2 linked regions of the Danio rerio genome follow. The protein of the gene in region 1 interacts with the protein of each later gene in a pairwise test. Links are inferred from orthologs where the notes say so. Each region holds a gene or a part of one and is shown in the gene's direction. Other genes may lie near its edges.

Region 1 (3,655 bases):
TTGTCAGCAACATTAGCATTGTTAGCAAGACCTGTGACTTAAAACTAGAAGCTTCTTTGTATAATACCAAATTTCTCTTCCTCTTTTTTTTCCTCTCAGAGTTGGAATGTTTCCGCAATGGAGGAAAACAACCTCAAAGTGAGATCATTCTTTGTTTTGGAGAGGAGCTCTTGGAGGGAGATAACATCTCTGATAAACACATCATCATTAAGGTAAATGCGTAATTGATGTACATATATAGATCATTACTACATTTGTCATTTAAGTTAAAGGGCACCAATGATGAAAATTATCTTTTGTAAGTGTGTTTGGACAGAACTGTGTGTAGTATGGTGTGTCCACTGTCATATTAGGGTGAGAAAAAGACAATAAGTCTCTTTTTTTTTATTTCCTGATGATAAATAGGATCCAAATCCAAATCACTTCCCATTTTGAGGCCCACCACAACGTTACGTGGAAGGGCAGTTTCCTCACGCACTGAATTGATTGACAGCCGCATATTAACATGTCTTCAAAGTAACACGTATAAACATATCAACAAGGACAGAATGTGCACAAAGCAACTGGGATTGAGAGATCTGTTCAGCCTGCCGAGATCATCAATCATCTTCAAATGTGATCAAGAATGAGTTTTACAAGTTTAAAACGTTTTCAAAACAGTGCATGTTTGTAATGATTACAGCAATTTTACCATCTTTATCACCACAGCCGCGTGTCAGTACAATTATAAAAGAAAACGCTTCAATCCCAGTTTGTGGGAGTTAAGTCAGGTTTATTTTGTACATTAAAATGACGGATATCCATACAGCAGTGGATATTAACGTGTATCCTGTCACATTTGCCATGTGAAAACAGTGCAAAGTTAAACGCATACACTGTGTGTATGTGCGTGTGAACTTTGTAATGACATTGTGTGTGACTCATCGTTGCGACCCCACAACAAATACAACAAATAATCATTGGGAAAGTTCTTACTGTAGTATTTCTCACAAACGTTTGTGAGATATGCTTCCCTCATGTCTGTCACTGTGCTGTCTATCTGATGCAGCCGAGGCGGAGATTAAGGCACACTCTGACCGGTACGTGGGAACAGTGGGCAGGGAGATCTAGCATTAAAGGCACAGGCAACAAAAACAGCTCCAATTTGTTTAAAGCAGAAAATCCAATATTCTGAAAGGTATTATAGATAATCTGATGGGTGTTTTAAGCTGAAACTTTACAGGCACATTCTGGGGACACAAAAGACTCATCTTAAATCTAGAAAAAGGGGTAAAAAATGTGCCCTTTAATGTTTAAACTGCTATCTTAAATTTGAAGAATTTAAAGAGTAGGTTTAAAAAAAGTGTACTTTCAAACACAAATGATGTTTTGCTCATTGTCTATGCTCCTTGATATAATATAGAGAATACTGATTGATCAACTAAACAAGTTTAAACAACATTGTGATTTGTGACCAATTACTATATAAATATGTAAATAGGATAATTAATAAGACAGTTAACCCAGAAATTAAAATTTACTGAAAAGTAAAGTGTCTAAAAGTCTAAAGTGCATGGCGCAAAAGAATTAAGTGCATGTCCGAATCGCTCTGCACCCTGGTGCATGGTCTAACAGGGTTGTGCTTATTTTTTTATGAGTTGTTGGTGTGTTTTGAGCATAACAGGCATTAAACCAATCAGGATCTCATATCCTATTCCCTTTAAAAGTCAGTTGCGTTGCGCCATGGTGCATTTGCTATTTACATGGCAGACTTTTTAAGTGGAAAAACTAAACACTTTACTACCGAGAAAACAGTTAAACAGACCATCTGCAGCGCGAGGATAAAGAATAAGCCTCCTACATTCTGCCTCTTTATTTTTTCTTTCTCTTGACTTTTAACCACAAAGATTTGTTTAAAACTATATCTTAATTCAATTTTAATTTCCAGCAAACGAACGTTTGGTCAGGGTTATACCCAAACATGCCCACATTTTTAAAAATATTTTAATCCTTTAATTTTTTTCATATGTAAAGATATTTGCGTATTGCTGTACATGCTGCGTGTATTAAGCAGTGTGTACGTGTTTAAGGCATACAACTAACACACTCAATTGCGCAGTCCATTTTAGTTCTTCGAAATAGCAACGCACCAACAATGCGCCTTAACACACCTTTCTAGACCACCACATCCATAAGTGGTGCCAATGGATTTGCTATCTAAAAAGCGTGGAGCAAAATGGGAAAATTGTGCTGGTCTCAAAATAGAAACACATCAGGCCAAACACGTCTTGCACTTTATTGAGCCGCCCGGGTGTACGATAGGACCAGAAGCTGTAGGGGTGTCCCAATTCTCTTTACCTTGAAGGAGTAGGGCTTAGGGGAATGGTTCGATAACCCTTGAAACTGAGATTTTCAGGACCACACTCGAAACCAAGTGCTAAGAAAATTTTCCAGAATACATCATCTTGAGCGGCAAAATGGCTGCACTCAGAAGTCAGGAGATGCACAAATTAGTTTCATAGTAGTTTCAAAATATTTCAAATTTTGCTATCTATAATCCCTAATAACTCCAGTATAGTAGTACCACAACATACTTTCACATCTGTCACTTGATGACACTCGAATACCCTGTCAGAAAAGTCTAGTGGCTGGGAATGAGCTTTTTACAGTGTCTGCTATAATATTAATGTTGTTTTCATATGATGAATAAGGCCTTGATGTAAATACAGTGTACAGTTAGGAGCTTATTGCCACATTATGTCATTATGATAACATGATATCGTTGCCTTCTGTGATTTCCTAAAGATAAATTCTAAAAGAAATCACGCAACTAGAATAATTACAGCAGTCGCTGTCTTCAATCGCTCATGAAGTAAGAGCTCACAATGACATATGATGACCTGTGCAGGTGTAGTAATGCTGTCCCATTTCTTAGGCGTAAAACTAATAGCCCTTACCCTTCACAATGTTTCAAGGCCCCAGGAAAGGGGTACAGGTAAGAAATAGAATAGAGATTGGGCCTTTGAAGAAAGCTGAAAACCTGTAACCCTTGACTTTATGGAGGAATATCTTATTTTGTGTTCAACATTGCTACGTTTAAATATTTAGACTAAAAAATGGAATGAATGTTTAGCTTGGGCCAAATTTAAGGTAAAACTGAAAGAAAATGTCATTATTTGCTTCTTCCAGATATCTCTCCCTTGGGCTGAGGCGCAGATAGAAGAGGTCAAGGCCTTCAGAGAGTCCATTGCAATTCTCAAAAGTCTGGCCAGCCAGTCTCCTACAGGGGAAGTGACACTGAATTTTGTTGAAGTATCGGAATAACCAGTAACAAACTTCTGAGAAAACACTCACTGCATTCTTGACATTATGGATCAAAATCACAAGCAAAATGACTTGAGACAACTAAAAGTAACATTGTCCAGTGGTAGTGAGTGTAAATGCTACATTTATTAGCTGCTTCAACTACTATATAAATATATAATCCTATCGCACTATTTATAAGTAGTTCAAAATGTTATTAGTCAGTGTAAGATTGTGTTTCACTATTTGTAATTTGTAGCACTGTACAAATCTTGTGCTTTAAGAGATTTAATCGCATTAAATGCATTAATAACAATGTACACAATTTACTACAAATGGACTGTTACGTTAAACGGTACAATTTCATCCAACG
Region 2 (4,108 bases), on another chromosome or scaffold:
AAATGAATGAATGAATGAAGGTATAAATGAATGAATATTTGTATAATATAATGTATAATTTGTGAATAATATATGTATGATATAATGATATGATGTACAAACATTCAAATGAATGAATGAACGTTCACACAAACATGCTTGTAAATGAATGAATTAATGGACAAACACAAAGTTAATCATACATGCATACAAACAAAACAAACAAATATACATGTGAATGCATGATGAATGAATGAATGAAAGAATGAATGAATGAATGAATGAATGAATGAATGAAAGAATGAATGAATGAATGAATGAATGAATGAATGAATGAATGAAAGAATGAATGAATGAATGAATGAATGAATGAATGAAATCCACTCGCAGTTCTGGACGGTTTTGAGGCCTGTGAGAAATACACATCTCGAAACCTAACATACCACAGAGCAGCACACACACATATCCAGCAGCTCCGTCATGACCCTCCTGAGCACGCTTCTGGCTGTCAGGCTTCCAGCACGGTTTCTTTGAAACGGAGACTCTTACAGGAAGCAGAGCCGGAGCAGCGGCGCCCTCTGTCGGCAGACTCTGCAACATTTCCCGGAAACCGACTGACTTCTGCAGACTGAACCCCGACCCGCTGCACTTTATACCGGCTCCATAACGAGACACTCACACACTGAACAGTGCAGAATTAACCTGCTGTCTGAATCATGATAGCACTCACAGAGTGACAGAGCCACTACACACACACAGCTCTAATACATCAACTTCACACACTGTTGGAGATTCCCCAGTACTGGGTTGCAGCTGGAAGGGCATCAACATGTGCTGGAAAAGTTGGCGGTTCATTCCGCTGTGGTGACCCCTGATTAATAAGGGAATTAAGCTGAAATGAATGAGTGGATGAACAGTGCTGTAGAAGTGTAACTGATGATTGTGAGGTTGTGTTTGGGATAATCGCATATGTGTGTGTCGCGTGGGCGTGTGTGCAGTATGCTGCTGTGGTATGCTGAGGGTGTGTGTGTGTGTGTGTGAGAGAGTGTTTATCCAAACTGAATTGTCTTCCGCACGTAGTCCGTCTCTCTCTTATACAGCATGATTTCTCGGAAATCAGCCTCGCTGTGTGGAGCGCTGCCTGTGTGCGCATGCGCCTGCTAGAGCAGGGAAAATTCCCCGCGCCGTCTTCGGCTCTATATATACAGCAGCAGCAGCAGAGCCCTGCTCACAGTACAGTTAACCTGAACTTCAGCACAGTCACTTCAGCTGTTCTTCTCACTGAGGACTTACTCACGCCTTCACACGGCCAACTCTCGCTGCGCTCTGCACTGTAGGATTTACCCTCGCTCTATTGGTGAGTGTTGTGATTATGCCTGATGTGTTCTTATATGCTGTATATGATGCTGGGTATTTATTTCACTTCAATTCCATGAAATATGGACAAGCTCGAAAGTTGGGTTAAATTTGGTCATATGCATTTAATTAACTCAGTTTACATTTAGTTTGGAATTGAGTTGAAATAATCAAGTGTGTGTGTGGATAATGTGCAGATTTCTGTTCATCCTGCCCTCTGAGGACTCTCAGTTCTGTCTGTCAGTGATGAATGCATGTTAAATGGACATTTCTGAACTCTTGTTTAGCAGAGCAGCGCGTTTCCTGCTGCTTTTACAGATTAATTGTAAATGTTTTTATTTTTTATGAATGCAGATGTACTCTTAATGTTTAATATAGTTATTTTACAAATATGAACTTACTCTTAATGTCTATTTTTAATTTGATATGTTTTATTGAAAGGAAACACACTTTACATACAATACAAAAGAAACATGACCGTTTCCTTCTGTCTGTGTTCTCTTATTCTTCTTTATCATCATTTTCCACAAATGCAGAATTAATCTTAATGTTTCTCTTTTACACGCACACATATTCAGACTTTTAAATACAAATGCAAAAGTATTCCTAAAGTTAATTTTCTTTTAACAAATGCACAATAACTCAGAGTGTCTCGTGGTGAGGTGTGAGCTAAACACACTCTTCAGCGCTGTGCGCGCCCACAGACACGCCTCCTCATCTGCGCATGTGCAGCTCCGCTAATCCTACACTTGTCTCTGTGCTGCAGAAGTCATGCCCGTGTCCAGAATGCGCATGCGCCCCTGGCTGGAGAGCAGGATCGACTCCAACACCATCAATGGACTCATGTGGGTCAACAAGGTAAAGCCGAGCGCTGCACACACTCATCAGAAGCCACTGTTCCAGCATCAGCAGAGCTTTACAGATGTGTGTGTGTGTGTGTTTGCAGGAGGAGAAGATGTTCTCCATCCCCTGGAAACACGCAGCTCGGCACGGCTGGGAGGTGGATAAAGATGCCTGTCTGTTCAAGCAGTGGGCCATTCACACAGGTGAGAGAGCTGTCAATCATCTATACCTGTGACACTGCTGTCAGTGTTTCCTTCACTGCAACTAACACTTACATAGAGTCTAAATATCTGAACATTCTGAAAGCAAGAAGCGTTTTCTAGAGAAGCAACAGATATGTAGTGTTGTTGAGTCGGCATGTGCAGTGTTGAGTGTTGTAAAGACCTCTAGTAAAGCTCTACTGAGTGCACTATACAGTAGCAGTGGATGTGACCGTAGTGCTGTTCATTTCAGGTAAATATAAGGAGGGAGTGACTCAGCCTGACCCCAAAACCTGGAAAGCCAATTTCCGCTGTGCAATGAACTCGCTTCCGGATATCGAGGAGGTGAAGGATAAAAGCATCAACAAGGGCTGCGGGGCGGTGAGAGTTTACCGCATGCTCCCCGCCGTCAGCAAGAAGATCAAGAGATCCAAGAGCCGAGACTCCCGCCGGCGGATGAAGGTGAGCGCAGCGCATTATTATAATAATCACAACACATATGTCAGGTATAGCACCTCAAGCATCCCATTTCTGGGATTTTTGTCCAAATAATTTTGGTGTAAATCAAATTTTTTATTATCAGATTTTTATAATTTTGGTGTAAATTAATTTTTTTATTATCAAATTATTATAATTTTAGTGTAAATCAAATTTTTTATTATCAAATTATTATAATTTTAGTGTAAATAAAAATTTTTATTATCAAATTTTTTAAATTTTGGTGAAAATCAAATTTATTATTATTTTTTTTAATAATAAATATCTATTAATGTGTTTATATTAGACATTTTTATGTTTTTTTTTATGTTTTTGGTAAATGTGTAAATGTCTTGAACTTTTCAGATTAAACAAACAATTTTAAAAAATCTAAATAAAGTCACTTATGACAAAAAAATGTCCTTAAAGATGCCAGCAACCAATCAAAACAGAGAAAAACAAACATAAACATATATAAAGCAGAGTCAGAGCATGTCAAATAATCAGACCAAATCAGGTGTGTGTGTGTGTTTAAACTGAAGATCTGAACATGCGCGTGTGTGTGTGTGTGTGTGTGTTATTATTCAGAGTCTGTCTCAGAAAGTAAAGCTGGAGGACATGAGCAGTGAGGACACGTCTGCAGAAATGACCCAGGAGAACACCATCGACAGCACTCAGAGCACACCACGTAAGTGTGTTCAGACCCACAGCAGCAGAGGACGCTTCCCTCATCTGTGTTAAAGGGGACAGTTCACTCTGAGATATGCAAACGTGCAGACTGAGCGGTGAAGCTGGAGTCTGATGTTCTCATGTCTTCTCCTGCAGACACTTCCAGTCCTACTGTTGGGTATGAGGTGGAGATCGGCCCTGACAGCACATGCAACGACATCTACTCTCGATTCCAGGTGTCTCCAGTGCACTCCACAGGTAATCACACACACACACACACACACACACACACACACACACACACACACACACACACACACACACAAACACACACACACACACACACACACACACACACACACACACACACACACACACAGTACTCTTCTCCATGATGACAGCACATAATATTAGACTAGATATTCTTCAAGACACTAGTGTTCAGCTTACAGTGACATGTAAAGGCTTCACTAGGGTAATTAGGGTAAAGTTAGGGTAACTAGGCAAGTCATTGTATAACAGTGGTTTATTCTGGAGACAATCCAACACTAATATTGCTGAAGGGGCCAATAATATTGAGCTTA

Evidence for each region.
Region 2: the proteins of irf9 (region 1) and irf1b interact in a two-hybrid assay, tested with the Homo sapiens proteins (2 studies listed by BioGRID and IntAct). The link is inferred for Danio rerio from reciprocal best matches to the Homo sapiens genes IRF9 and IRF1.

What each region holds. Positions count from the first base shown.
Region 1 is NC_133187.1:13,875,710-13,879,364, forward strand, and holds part of irf9 (interferon regulatory factor 9), read left to right. Parts: intron 1-99; coding exon 100-212; intron 213-3,168; coding exon 3,169-3,303; 3' UTR 3,304-3,655.
Region 2 is NC_133196.1:49,886,085-49,890,192, forward strand, and holds the start of irf1b (interferon regulatory factor 1b), read left to right. Parts: upstream 1-1,223; 5' UTR 1,224-1,336; intron 1,337-2,101; 5' UTR 2,102-2,106; coding exon 2,107-2,193; intron 2,194-2,281; coding exon 2,282-2,381; intron 2,382-2,631; coding exon 2,632-2,840; intron 2,841-3,443; coding exon 3,444-3,543; intron 3,544-3,680; coding exon 3,681-3,782; intron 3,783-4,108. UniProt on the Homo sapiens protein: Transcriptional regulator which displays a remarkable functional diversity in the regulation of cellular responses.